Linked DNA regions of Oreochromis niloticus. The protein of the gene in region 1 interacts with the protein of each later gene in a biochemical or structural test. Links are inferred from orthologs where the notes say so. Each region holds a gene or a part of one and is shown on either strand. Other genes may lie near its edges. The genes, in order: rps6ka3b and pea15.

Evidence for each region.
Region 2: the proteins of rps6ka3b (region 1) and pea15 form a complex in vitro, tested with the Homo sapiens proteins (2 studies listed by BioGRID). The link is inferred for Oreochromis niloticus from reciprocal best matches to the Homo sapiens genes RPS6KA3 and PEA15.

What each region holds. Positions count from the first base shown.
Region 1 is NC_031974.2:5,811,132-5,818,445, reverse strand, and holds the start of rps6ka3b (ribosomal protein S6 kinase alpha-3), read left to right. Parts: upstream 1-4,092; 5' UTR 4,093-4,473; coding exon 4,474-4,536; intron 4,537-7,314. Other genes in the region: pyruvate dehydrogenase E1 component subunit alpha, mitochondrial, read left to right, coding at 380-535, 844-915, 1,124-1,191, 1,275-1,383, 1,486-1,650. UniProt on the Homo sapiens protein: Serine/threonine-protein kinase that acts downstream of ERK (MAPK1/ERK2 and MAPK3/ERK1) signaling and mediates mitogenic and stress-induced activation of the transcription factors CREB1, ETV1/ER81 and NR4A1/NUR77, regulates translation through RPS6 and EIF4B phosphorylation, and mediates cellular proliferation, survival, and differentiation by modulating mTOR signaling and repressing pro-apoptotic function of BAD and DAPK1.
Region 2 is NC_031967.2:28,670,197-28,678,130, forward strand, and holds the start of pea15 (astrocytic phosphoprotein PEA-15), read left to right. Parts: upstream 1-4,753; 5' UTR 4,754-5,158; intron 5,159-7,934. UniProt on the Homo sapiens protein: Blocks Ras-mediated inhibition of integrin activation and modulates the ERK MAP kinase cascade. Inhibits RPS6KA3 activities by retaining it in the cytoplasm. Inhibits both TNFRSF6- and TNFRSF1A-mediated CASP8 activity and apoptosis.

The DNA.
Region 1 (7,314 bases):
CACTCTTACACTGTCATATCAGTTAGGTTTAAGATCTTTATTCTTATTTCCTTGGCTTCACGAGGTGACGCCACCACTTATTCTCATTCTGTTTCACCCCTGTTCTCCAAACCGGACCCTCTGAGCCACAGATGGAGGTTTTGTTTTTCCTCCGTCTGAAAACTGAGGCTGATTATGTGCGCTCCAAACTTTAGTGCCAGAACTGTGGAACAGCTTTCCTCCCTTGGCAGTTTAAAATGTATCTGGCATTTGGATGGACAGGCGTGCGTTTGTGTTCTGCGTTGTTTACGTGGTTCAGCTGTGTGCTTTTTAATACCTCTGTAAAGAACTTTACACTGGTTCTCGTCATTTGACCTCGACTCCTCTGTGATCCAATCAGGGCCAGCTCTTTGAGTCTTACAACATGGCCGCTCTATGGAAGCTGCCGTGCATCTTCATCTGCGAGAACAACAAGTACGGCATGGGGACATCGGTGGAGAGAGCTGCAGCCAGCACAGACTACTACAAGAGGGGAGACTTCATACCTGGACTCAGAGTGAGACATGAACACATTAAAGCTGCACGGCGGGGTTAAACATGGCGGGTAAACGTGCCGGTCCTGGGCAGCGGCGGCAGTGTGTCTGATGACTGTACACTGCCGCTGGCCCGTTTGGACCCAGACTATAACAGGAAGAGGCTGAGAGTCTGTCCTGGCAGTTGCAGGTGTGAGCATGCATACAGCTGCCTGATGCTCATGTATGATACTGCGCACAAACACTGGAATGTTCCAGGTGTCGCTGCAGGGGTCGCGTCTCTGTACGTAGAGGTGTGCCAATGGTCAGGTTTCTCTCTGCTCTCCTGCAGGTGGATGGGATGGATGTCCTGTGCGTCAGAGAGGCCACACAGTTTGCTGCAGATCACTGCAGAGCTGGAAAGGTGAGGGTTTGTTTTTTGTTTTGTTTTTTTATTTATACATTTTTAATATCTAATCTGTGCTGCACTCTGTTATTCATATATGTAAAAGTCCATGGAGACCCACAGCCTTTAATTTTGAAGGGTTCTCGTGGTGGAGAGTTTCCTGTAGGATCTCTAAAAGGCTCTAATCTTTCAGAGCATCGATGTGAAGCAGCACTTTGTGTTTCAGGGTCCCATCATAATGGAGCTGCAGACCTACCGTTACCATGGACACAGCATGAGTGACCCAGGTGTCAGGTGAGTTACCTTTCCCAGTCTGGATTTACCTGACCCTGGGAGAGTTGTGATTTTTCTCAGTAATTTGGTTTGACCTCCTGCAGCTACCGTACCCGCGAGGAGATTCAGGAGGTCCGTAGTAAGAGCGACCCCATCTCCATGCTGAAGGAGCGCATGCTCAGCCACAACATGGCGTCTGTAGAGGAGTTCAAGGTGAGCGTGCAGACAGCAGGGATACATTCACAGCTTCAAACCTTTTTTTATATAAAGGTTGGCAGCTGCAGGGATTACAGCACCTGATTTCTCTCCCATCAGGAAATCGACATAGAGATCCGTAAGCAGGTGGAGGAGGCGACTCAGTTCGCCACCTCGGACCCGGAGCCGCCGCTGGAAGAGTTATGCAACCACATCTTCTCCAAGAACCCGCCGCTGGAGGTGCGCGGGACAAGCCCCTGGTCCAAGCTCAAGTCTGTCAGCTAGACTCGGACCACACACTCCAACCATTATCCCTCACACATTCAGCACCTTCCCTCTCGACTTTAGGTCTCAGCACCTTCACAGGACTCTGAGGTTTTTTACCTGAAACCTGCCAGTGTTATTTATTTATAGTTTACTGTATAACTGAGATGTTATTCGTGGTGGAGACAGAGGTGTTGGATAGGATTAACATGCTGCACTGTAAACGCACAAATCCCAACATCTGACATGGAAACGTGTCTGTTAGAAACCCTCTCCATGTTTATCCTGCTTTTTAAACTCTTAGGAGACTTTTAAATGTTGCAAACTTGTGTAGGTATTCCCTCAGTAGTGTGACTTTAAAACCGGCGAAATACAAATGTGATGGATTTTTCTGGTAGTAAATGTGTTTTAAATGAGGAGTCGCAGCCTGAGCTTCAGAGCAGTCCCTCATCTGAAGCAGCTTCAGTGTCCAGGATAAGGACACAATATTAATGTATGTAATGATAAAATGGCTCTAAAAATGTTTATAACCTGAAGATGAAAACAAGACTTTAGATGGTCTCTAAATGCTTTAGAGGCTCTCCCTATCTGGACACTGAGGTCTGCAGGATCTTTTAGGAATGGTTGTTGTTGGTTGTGTTTTTGTTTTGTTTTTTTTTTTTTGTCTCCATAGATCTGGTTTTTCCAACCAAACGGTGAAATGACCTTTTTCTGCCCCTTTTCAAAGATGAGTAAATAAAATATAATCGAGCTGCTCGACTCGACTGCTGACGAGACAAACATCCGGACTTGTTTGGGGAAACTGAAGCTGGCAACTGGATGCACTACATTTGAGACTTTCTGGGCACTTTATGAGTTTAAAGGAGTCTGTTATAAAATCTTTCCTGTGTTCTTTAAAGTTTACTGTATCTGAGCCTGTACAGATATAAAGCTTTCTTATTTACCTGTCTGAATGGTGGAAACTGAAGGTTGTGAAATAAAACAACTTTAAAGAAAAGTGGAAACGTGATTGGTGTGTTTGAATCATATTTTATTTGCTCAGCTGTCAAACATAAAATGTGGTTACAAAGTAATGCTTCAAATATGACTCAATAGTTGATCAAACTAAAGGAAATCAGTGAGCTGTGTTCAGTTGTTCCATTCTCAACCACTAGATGTCACTATCAGGCTGATAAACTGCTCAAAACTAAAAATCAATTTATTTTTTTCACTTTAATTAGAGTAAAAATCTCCACTGGCTTCGGCCTGGTTTATTGTCAGCTTCATAATATAAAAAGGGACATGTCTGGACTTTTATCCCTTCTATTTTCGCTCTATTAAAGCTTTATGAACGAAAGTCATGCCCGGCTCGGACAAAAATTAAATGCTGTAAATTTAAACCAGTGAAAAGGTGTCACAGAAAAAACTGACAAAAGTATTCAAAAGTGGATTTTGTAACGACGCACAGCTTTAAGGAAGCGATGCGGTGAATCCAGGAGCACGTTCATGAGGTTTTTTGTGTTGATGTTTGTTTTTGGTTATTGTGTAGTTTTTGTCGTTTTGTGTACTTCAAAGTCGTTTTCCTTTCTGTGCTCGTGTTTCCCGTTTTTGTGAGCATTTCATATATTATATGTACATATTGAGTGGTTTATGGTCACTGCATATTTTTTGGTCAGTTTTTGATAATGTGTTGATTTGTATTTTTTTCTGGTAATTTGGCATTTCATGGGTACACACTTATGTTGTCCTCGAGCTTTTTTTGGTGGTTTATTTATTTCGTGGTTCACTACAGTATATGTGGAATAACTGTTGGCTGTTTGTGGACATTTAGCAGGTTTTTGTGGTCACAGTATTATTTCTGTGGGTGATTTTGTGCAGATTTTGTATATTTTTATGGTAATTTGTTTCATGCCTGGGTCATTTGTGACTGTTTTGCACATTTTGTAGTCATTTTGCGGTTGTTGGTGTATCACTTTGAATGTGTTTACTGATTTTGCATATTTGACATTTGTTGTTATTTAGAGTAGTTTTGTGGTTTATTTTTACATCTTTTGGTGGAATTTGCCATGTTATTGCTGGATTGTCCATTTTGCAGATTTTTGTATTTGTATTTTGTGTACTTTGTGATGGGTTTTTATGTGGTTAGGTGGCTTATTTTGGATAGTTTGTGGTCATTTTGAGTATCTTTGAGATACTCTTTTGCATTTTGTGTTACTTTTTATGTTTTGTGGTCATTTGGGTCGTTTAAGGTCGTTTTACATACTTTCTGTGATTGTGTGGGGCAGTTTGGCGCCACCCTGTTAGGCTTTATCGGTAAAAATAATCATTAAAAAAACAACACCGCCTTAGTGATGAATTGCAGACTGTTTATTCATAAGTTCAGATACGTGCTCGTTCACTCTTTTATTACCTAAGTGAGAATGCCGCCTGTCGTCGTGACGTAGTTGTGACGCAGCGCTCTGACGGACAGGTAAGCCGACACCGGCCGCCATATTGGGAAAGAACGGAAGTGAGAGAGGGAGAGGTGGAGGTAGAGAGAGAGAGAGAGAGAGACGGAGATAAGTCAATCAGTTTCCGAAAAAGGGCGTCCTCCTCCTCCTCTTCGTGTCTCCGGAGGAAGGGGCGGTCTCAGCGCCGCGGCAGATCCGGAATTAGCCCTTGTTCGCTCGGCTCCGTTCGGTCGGTTGGTCGGTCGGTCGGTTCGGTTCCTGCCGACGCTGAAAGTGGACTACTACCTTCAAACATTTTTTTTTAAGAATAAGAGCGAGGAGAGAAAGCGTCCGGAGCGAGGGAGGTACGAGCAGCAGAAAAGCGGAATAACAGAAGAAGAAGAATAAAGAAAAGTAGGGGCAGAAGAAGAAGAAGATGCCTCTGGCTCAGCTGGCGGATCCCTGGCAGAAGATGCCGCTGGGGAGGACGGCTGGAGAGGTGAGCACACTTTGGTTTGTCCTGCTGTCACACTGACTGACAGCTGAATGAGGGCTGCAGTCACAGCAGCAGCTTTCAGGGGGTAAAAAACACAAAAACACGGCACAGGATGCAGTCTGATGCTACAAAAGCGCCTTCTCTGTCAGGCAGAGGCAGCTGCTCCTAAACACAGCACAAACTACCGTAAGATCACTCTGCAGGTAAATCTGTGCTTCAGGAAGCGCTGGACATGTGCTAGCAATGACAGAGTCACGATGAAGTGCTCAAACAGTAAGCTGACAGTGTCATAAAGGACATTATACATTGCATTTATATTGACAGCAGCTGCTAAGTGACTGCAGGGATATTACTATGACCCTAAATTGAACTGTAAACACCGTAAACTCTGGGAACATCTGTTTATTTCCCTCTGAAGACACAAAGATGAAGTAATTTTCTATGCAGAAATTTTACACCAGTTCAGGAGGGCGCAGAAGTACACCAAAGTGTCATGTAAGCTCCCAAATAAGCACTCAAATCTTTGCAGGAATGTCCTGGATATGATCCAGTGTTAAATCATGTGGTTTAAAATGTCATAAAGTGCAAAAATATGAAGGGACCTTTCAGGATAATTCGATTTTTTTAGTTAAAGTCACTCTTCTTAGCAGCTAAACTACAACACAGGCATCATTTTTACCCTAGAAAGCTTCAGCAGGACTAAATTAGCTGCACTAAAACAACATAAAGTATCAAGTGATGACCCGAAGGCACAAATATGTAATAATACTTTATGCATGAGTATTACAGTGGTACTACAGGGCACAGAAAAACTCCAAAGTACCACATTGTCGGTATAAGCTGCCAACGTAGTGTTGCAGTCTCTGTAGGACTGCCATGGACATGTTTCTGGTGTTAAATCGAGAGGTTTTAAATATCATAAAGGACAAAAATGTGAAAATGAGATTGCATTATGGTTGACAGCACTGGTGACTAAAGGGGCATCAATTTGTCCCTGAAATTTGGTCGAAAACATTAGAAAGCTCCAAAAAGATGAAGTTAGCTGCATTAAAACACGACGTAGTTTTAACGTTCGTGTGTTTACTCTAAACACCCGAACGTGGTCCACACCCTCCAGACATGTTACATGTGTGCAAAAGGAAACCCTGAGCATGTGCTACAATATTTTTGGAATGACTTAAACAATAAAAGAAAAAAAGTCTGTCATGGATGCCTGTCAGTGTCAGTAAACAGAGTCTGAAAGTGTCGTAAGGGACAAATATATGAAGTCTGTATTAGCACTGCTGAGTGACTACAGGGACACTATTATGACCCTAAATGGGATTTTAAATACCATAAAACTCTAAAAGGAAATCAGTTCATGTAACTCTGAAGACACAAACACGAAGTAATATTCTGTGCAGAAATATTACACCAGTACAGTGTACAGTGGGCACAGAAGAACAATAAAACTGGTGTTTAATTGAGAGGTTTACAGCACATTGTGCACAGCAGATTGTATTATTACACAAACTATTTTAAATTAGATTTAAAGCAGCATAGAGCTCCGACGGGGACTATATTAGTTGCACTGAATCACATCATGAAGCAGTTTAGGGACAGAGTTGTTACATTTGGGTTTTATATGTTAAAGTCTGTTTAGAAATAACAGATTCATGTTTAAATGCTAAAATAAGAGAATGGAATGACGAAGTGTGAAAATGTTGCAAAGTAGGTTGTATTAGGATCGAGAGCAGCAGCTAAAGCTGCTATAGAGGCATTATTTTGACCTTAAGTTAGACTAAAAACACCACGAACCTCAAACAGGACTAAATTAGTTTTACTGAAACACAACAGAAAGTAGCATAAGATCATTCTGAAGACACAAAGATGAAGTTTTCTATGCAGATATATTACATTAGTACTACCAGGCAGAGAAAGTGTCACTATAAGCTGCCATAGTAGTGTTAAAATCTCTCTGGAAATGCCCTGACCATAATATAAAAATGTCAGAAAGTACAAAACTACTTTGGGACTATTACATTTTTTACCATTTAAGCAGATGCAGACTCACCGAATATTATAATACTGGCAGGCTCTATAAATGCTCTACAAATTGATAGAAAACAAACTGTAGAAGAAGACATAAAATGATCTGAAGAGCCCCGGCTTTTCTCTCTGGCCTGACCCTGAAGCTCATTTAATCAATTCATCGACTCTGAGTGTCACAAACTCACTAAATCACCTTAAAGTCTCAGTTAGATCACCGCTGACAGCAGCACCCCCCCCCCCCCCCCCCCCCCCCCCTTATTTCCTTATTTTAACACACCACGCCAAGTCTCCTGAGATCAGTCTGTAGACACGCAAGGCTTTACTTTCAAATACTAAAGCTGTGTTACAGCTCCTGCTTATTGCCTTATCTACTAGTCCAGCGTCAGAATATGCAGCCGTAGAGGTGCAGTAGTTAATGTCATGTTTGAGCACTAAACCAGCAGGTTAAAGGCTATTATTAATTACAGCAGCAGCCAAATCTTAAGCTCCTGTAAGGACTTTACTTTGACCAGAAAATAGATTAAAAACCCAAGAAGACTGTGTAATATTGTACAATATAGAAGTACTGCTCCAAATATTTAATTCATGTTATATGAATCTCTCAGTAAACTGCGGGGTGCAGTTAAGGATCCTTAAAAGCACCGAAACACATGAAACAATGTGTGATTATAAACCACACAGATTTAATAAAAAACTCTGCAGGAGTAGTTAGAGGAGATTAAAAAACCCAATAATGTTGCTACAGTAGTG
Region 2 (7,934 bases), on another chromosome or scaffold:
TCCATTTCAGATGACTCTGTCCGTATTTGCATTAACAACAGTATGCCCATTGTTACAGTGAAAGCAGATCCTGAGACAACTCATTTAGGTGGTGACAGGTACAGGAAATCTGGTGTCACTGTATTCACTGCTGTTTGCAACATAATGATGACGATAATAATATTTTATTAAATACAAAATGTTTACCATAGGGTCAAACCTTTCGGAAAAAAAATGTTTGGTAGAAAGTAGAACTATGAAAAATAGACTAGAATAGAATAAAATAGAATAGAATAAAGTAGCCACTTTATTGTAATTCAGAACACATATCAGTTAGTGAACATCAGAGCAAAATATTGATGCATTTACTCACCAGCAGGCGGTACAATATAAATACAGAAATGTGTATAGGATCTTTGCAAAACATTTCATGCTTTTATGGTTTTGTGGTTTTGCTTAAATATACACTCAGTTTTTATGTCCGAGTATGTTGTTGGTGTTTCTTTCTTTAGCAGGTTTTTGCATGAACTGCCCCTTTGTTCATTGAATCAATATTAACATCAAACCAAAGCTGAATTTTATGTTATCTGTGCATTAACTTGGTAGCACTTCTGATTGTAGCTCGGTAACAGAGGGTTAAAAGTAGTGTAACAAAGTAGAAATAATAAGGTAATAATTGAAAATTTCTGTTATTACCACTCAATTACCAAAGTAATAACAATGTAATATCCAAGTAATTGCCATGGTGGCAAACAGCAGTTATTCCATCCCATCCATCCATTCTCTTCCGTTTATTCTTGTCAGGGTCGTGGGGGGGCTGGAGCCTATCCCAGCTGACTTAGGCCAAGAGGGAGGGTACACCCTGGACAGGTTGGCAGTCTGTCGCAGGGCTAACACATAGAGGCAGACAACCAGTCACACTCACATTCACACCTATGGCAATTTAGACTTACTAATTAACCTATCCCCAATAACTACGTCTTTGGAATGTGGGAGGAAGCCACAGTATCCAGAGAAAACCCACACAAATTCCACACAGAAAAACCCCAACCTAATGGTGGAATTGAACACAGGCAACAGTGCTAACCACTGTGGTCACTGATACTTAAGTGAGAAAGCAAGATTCTGCTGATGTGTAAGTAATTTAATGCTGTTGGCATCATGGCGAATTTACAGCACTAAATTAAGTGGTTATGCCGAGGCTACATGCACTTTCAACAATGTACAGCTGATGTGTGTTAAAAAAAAAAAGAAGCATCCATTGGGTTTAAAAGACAGCAAAGAAGTGCACTAAAACAGTAATGGGCTAACTCACATGCTTCCCCTGAATCGATGCCAATTTAGGGTGTTGTTGATAGTGAAGACAATCTTTAGCAATCTGAAATAAGAAGGCATTCATTACTATGTGTCACATGAGAGGTTTTCAGCAAAATGAAGTTTACACTTCATCTTTCATTCCAGAAAACTTTGCAAAAGAAAAGACAAACCAGTGTTTTCCATTCAATAAGGCCAACAAGCCGATGAAGTCACTGAACACCATTTACAGCTCAAATAATGGAAAAAGTGCTCAAAACAGAATAAAATATATATATCTTTTTCATTTGTCTCCTCATCAGTCCAAACTTTTAAGTCAGGCATTATGAACATCATGATTTTTTTTACAGGCATTAAATAGTCACTTTTATTAATAAATAAAGATGTAAACATGGTGATGATTACACCCTAGTGGTCTTAAAAAATACTCAAATAAAAGCCGATGTTGCCTTAATGGAACTACAGCTGTGTTTAGTAAGTCTGTAGTAGCACAGTCTGTCATCACTCAGTAACACAAAGAATATAAATGCATTTAACCCCTGTAAATGTGGTGCTTTGGTGCTTTGAATTGCAGCACTTTTTCAGTTTTTTTTAAGTAAAAGCAAATGGAAACTTTCCCAAAATCGGTGTCCTTACTCCAGTTCTTTTGCACCCTTGTGAGTGATCATGTGTACATGCTTGTGTATTAGTAAAAAAGGGGACTTTTTCCAATGCCCGAGGTCAAAGACCGGAGAAGAAAAGTGTTATTCATAACCTCCAGATTTGTATCGCCATGAGTTACAGAGCAACAACAAAGTCATGACAACACAAAATCATGAGATGCACTATAAAATTTTGTAAGTTAAAGGTTATTTTTATATTTTATATTAATAAATGTGTTTTATTTTAAATTTTGGGGCATTTTTTTTTCATGTCCGTCATAACATATTCCAAAATTATGTCAAAACACACATACGCACTTCTGAGGTGTGTGAAACCATTAGCAGTTTATTCCAGCAGAGTTATTTCTTTCAGTGATGTAAAGTTTAGTCGTGGGACATCTGATGTACAACACCTGTGCATTTTTGGATTCAAGTTACACTTTGCAAGAATGAACACAGCTCTGCGCTTCACACCCACCTACGCGCACTTCTGAAGACCTTTGAAAAGAGAAGTGTAGAATGGCTCAAGCAGCTTTTAACAGGAAGCAATTCTTGTTTTCTTGGTGTAACCTGAAGATGGTTAAAGAAAACAGGAAATGTGACATCACATACGAAGGTATTTCCACTACACATAGTTATTATTTTTAGTTGTCTGGACGTTTTACTCAGAGTTCCTGATGGTCGCAAAGACTGCTCAGAAAACTAACTTTACCTTACTTTACACTTAAAAAGGGGTTTGTGTTCTTTTCAAAATAAAATATGTAGGACTAGCTGGAGTTAACGGGCTACTTCAACTGTATATGCATCAACAAAAGTTTAATCTCCAAAAAGGTTTTGTGGGGAAGCAAGGGAAAAAATGGTAGTGCATGCCAACTTTGCTTTGACAGCTTAATTTTTAGTTCTGCACCGCAGAGCCTATAACTTAGCCTACAGGTGCTTCCACTGCTGGACCGTTTTGCTGTCAAAACACTAGTGAGCATTAGAGTTTCTCTTGAAAATTATTAGCCATGAAAATTACAGCTTAGAGTTACAAAAGAGTTTGCAGTTAGATAGTTCCAACTGTACAGTAACTGTGTGTTAGCCATGGACGCTACTATCTACTACTGTTTACCAGTCTAAACATATCTCCATGTTCCTGATGTTGTTGACTTCTGACTGACTTTGAATTCAATTATCATTCCAATACTATGACAAATAATAGCCTCGTTATAATCTATGGATGCATCTTGCTAACATAGTTGCTTTGTGTTGCAGAATGTGAAATGTGAAACCAATGAAATAATATTTTATTCCCATTGAAAGAACAGACATCTGTCATTTCTAAAGCAATTTTGTGACAGAAAAATCTGAAATATAGATTTAAACTCTATAATTGCAGCTGTTTTCCCACTTGTGTCCATTTTCACTGTGCTAAGGGGAGGCCAGAGGGGAGAAACTAATGAATGATTTAACTTCATTTGAGAGATCAGCACCCAGCAGCACAACTTCTGTTGGCTCGCTGTCACTTTTAAAAGAATGGAGTTGAAGCTGGGGGGCTGATGTTTGTGACAGAGAGAAAGGAACAGGAGGAGGGATTTGCAGACCGGATAGCGGCTCAGTGACATCAGCTTCGAAAAATGTGTGTGTGGAACTGAGAGTGTATGTGTGGAATCAGAGGAAAAATAGGGAATGGGAAAGAGCTCCCACTCTGCTCCTTTTACCGAGAACTAAAGAGAACACGAACGTGTGCTCAGCGTGTTATTCCTGCTGGTTGTTTCTATCTTTAACTCTAAATTAACCCCAGATGCATAACAAATATTTTTATTTGTTATGTTTGGGTTATACTCCAAAACGGCCTTATTTTATTATACAAAGTAAAACAAGAGATCAATTAAAGAAATCCCCCAAGTTACCCACTGATGCATCTGTGTGGGTTTGAGCATGTGTCTGTGGATTCATCCTGCAGTGTCAAAGTGCTTTGAGGACTAAGTGAGTGCTAAGCATATAACAGTCCATATTACCATGGGTTAAACTAAAAGTAGGAGAAGGTAAAACACATAGAATATTTGGATGGAAAGAAGATTAGACACTAGTGATCACTGCTGTGAAACTCAGCTTGAGGTTCATTAATGGTGTTTTTAGATTGGTTACATGACTAAGCCAATAAAAGAAAGCTAAACCAATAAAACATCTTGGCGCAACACTCACCTCACAACAAGAAGCTTCCAGGTTTGAAGGTGTCCAAAGACGCTTGTCAGGTTAGCTGGTAAATCTAAAGTGGTGTTAATGGGACTTCAGTGGATAGCCATCACATCTCAGCCAGGGTCCTGGATACGCGCCTTGAACGAGAGTGCTGAGCCAAGGATAAAGCAGCATTCACACATCGGAACAAATTCAAATCGAGTGAATACCTGAAACAGTGCTATCCAACGGGTAATATTACTATTTTACTTTGAAAAAAGAAGCTCTGAAAAAATGCAAGCTAAAGATGTGCCTTACTTATCCCCAAAACCATTAACTGGGGATGTGATTTGAAAGTGTTTGAAATCTCCTGTGGATAGACACGAAGGCAAATTAAGAAGATAAGATGACAGTGTGCTGCAGAGAATGCAAACACTTTTAAATCTAATTTTTGATTATCCTCAGGCTTCACAGCCTCCTCAAGTCCCCTTTAAAAATCATTATTATTATTATTATTATTATTATTATTATTATTATTATTGCCAAATATAGTTTCGCGGCGTGTTATTGACAGAGTGAGGCGTTGTATTCAACAGACGATCTCAGGGCGAATCAGACAGCGCGCTTAACCGTGACCGAGAGAGAGAGAGAGCGAGAGGAGGGGGAGAGAGAGACAAAAGGCGTTTCCACGTTAGAGCAGCCAGCTTCAGAGCGGCGGATAGCGAAGCACGCGGACATAGGGAGACCTCACGAGCATCATACACCCCCAAACTCGCGCTGACAGTTCGTCTAACCCAGGCACCACGGCCGCGTTTTGCCACGCTGATGAATCACACTCAAGTTCATCACTGAGCGACTTGAAACCACAAAAGTGAACCGAAACCAAGCGGGACTGACCAGGTGGACTTTTTTTTTCTCCCTCCTTGCATCACGTCTGCCGTCTCTCTTGGGCTGCTTTCTACGCGTTTGAGCTTTGTAGAGGAAATCGTCCCGCAGACTCACGCATCCCTTCCATCTCCGTGTCTCTTTCCCTGCCTGTAGCTGACTCATTTTTGCTGCTCGGGGTGAGTACATCTCTTTCTAACTCTCCCTTCCTGTCTCCATCTTTTTTCTGTTTTTTAAATCATGCTTTTTCTCACACGCCTGTGGGGGATTGTTGCTTTAAGACCCATTTCCCCAGAGTGTACTTCATTCATTTGACCGTCATTCCGCTCTCCATTCATGGATACGGCTCATTTCTGTCGTTGCATACCGCTACATGGAGGCTGTGTCGGAGACTCGCCTACTTCACAGCCTGCTGTCAATGAGAGTTGTTTTTTTGTGAACTATGAATTAAAACTGAGACTCCTGTGAGGATAGCGGACATACAATATTGGTCAATTAAGTGATTCCACTGGGCGTTAAGCAGGTTGTTTCTTAACAGTAAAAGAAACACTTAAACATTAAGCTGAAATAACTGACTGTAAACCTTTAAGCGTATGTCCTTAACTCATTCATGGACTTTCAAATGGCAAATGGATGGATGTTTCATTCTCAAGAGTGCACTGAATACACCATTGATTAAACTAATTGGATTGAGTGTAGTGTGGCTATTCATGTATCTAGTGTCCTTTTCATTACACCCCTGCTGAATATCCCAACAGTTTTCCGTATAGAGGCTGGACTCAGTGGGATTACAGTGCACTCTCCCACTGAATCCCAGCTATAATGTGTGATAAAAGTCTGTGGTGTTGTTTTAGTAGATCTGCATTTATGAGGATCACATGATCTGGAATATTCTGGCTCTAAACCAGAGGAGCAGATGATAAAGCACTGGTGACCACCTGTGACTGTCCCGGATGGCTGAGAGTGTGTGTGAGCGGATGGGGAAGGGGTGGGTCTTTTATGAATGAATTTGGGTGGATGGCCAACACTTTGTGTGTGCATATGGGTGGGGGTGAGCAGAAGTGTTCTTCCTGAACACTAACAGACTTATCTCAACTAAGCTACTCTCCTTATGCAGTTGTGAACTTGTGATGAAATCATGTTTGATTTGGCAGATTTTTAGCCGGATGCCTTTCATGAACCCCCCACCCCCCACCCCACACACACACACACACACACACACACACACACACACACACACACCTAAACCACTACACGATATTGCCTGTTTTTAATCATTTTGATACTATTACACAATCTGGTTTGGGCCTATAGGCTTTTCAAAATTTAAGAGTAGTGTTAGTTTTAGCCTTGTCCAAGGATCTGATAAGCTCAAACCTACAAAAGGCATAAAAGGACTAAAGAAACTAAAGGAGTAACTTTGAAGTTCTGTGTTTGAGTCAAGCTTACTAGCATCTCTTTGTTAGTGTTTTTAAAAGGGATGCACAAAGCTTTCTGCATTTGTCAGTGAAAATAGTGAATCTGGTAATGCTGACAGCAAGACAATCACATTAAATCCTTTGTGTTTTCTATGGGTGGCTTGCTCATGTCACACCAGCATTTTTCTTTGAATGTTTGCAACAGATTCTGCTTAACTGTAAAAGACTTCACACAAGTGAAAAGCTCCAGTGACGCAATTTTAACTACTGTTCTTAAATTCATAATGTTTTTAATACATTTATAATACATAATGTATACTTTCTAATATGTTCTTAAATCTATAGTTGGCCCATTTTACCGATGTAGTGATTGTGTTTTTGTTGTGTCAAAAGTGACGTCTGCACAGCTCCGTACTGTTTAGTGCTGAGGAAGCGAGGGCTGTTTTCAATATTCTTCTGAACGATGGGATAAAACTATCAAGTTGTCTCCACTCAGATAAAACCTTTACAGCAGGGATAATGGGACCATTATGAGCTACAGTCCATAACTAATGTATTTTGTTCTCGATAGAGGTTTGACACATGTAAAAAAAAAAAAGAAAAAAGAAAAACAAACAAACAAACAAAAAAAAAATACAGCTAACAGCAAAACAGCAAAATGATTAATTAGAACTATAAAGAGATACCAAAAAAGTAAAAAAAAAAAGAACAAGGCAGTTTTTGTGGTTTAATGCCATTTTACCATCAGTTGTTCTCCCAGTTTACTTTTAAGTCTGTTTTAAGCTAAAACATTCATTGCTGTATGTAAATTAAACCCATTTTATGTTTGCCTTTGCCACTTCTTAAGCCAGACGTTAGGATGTTGCGTTGCTTGCTAGCATAAACTCAGTCATTTTTCTACGTTACAAAAACACCACAGTGAAGATGCTGGCACAGCGTTTAGCATATTTGCTAAAAAACATGACATGAACAATTAGCCAAGTAGATCCTGATTAACTTTGTTGACATGTAGCTTCTGCTCTAATTTTAGCTATTTGTCATTAATTACTGCATATTCCCATTCATTCTGACCCCATCTGCCACACTCATACAGCACATTGCACTTTAGCGTGTAACAGATGCACAGTGTGACAGCTGTCAGTCCATTTCCTGTTAGGCCACATTCCACTCATTTTTATCCCTGAACAGTGTGCGCTCTTTGCAAGCTGTCAAACATTCCTGTGGACTGATAATACATCTTTGTGAGGACTTTTTTTTTCTTTTTTTTTACTTTGCCTGAGGGTAAAGCTTAATTTTAGGTTATGAACAGAGCTAAAGGGTCCTCACAGTTATACAAATAGAGGCTTGTGTGTGTGAGCCTTGACTCAGCTTTTTGGGAGCCGGTCTCCTCTCCTTTTTGATACATATATACATCGATCTGTCGTTGTGCACACAGAGGAAAAACACGAGTGGGACAGCAGAAATGTGCTTCCTCTCTCAGGTTCACTTCCTATATATGTGTGTGTGTGTGCGTCTGTGTGTGGTTTCGGATGTCCTC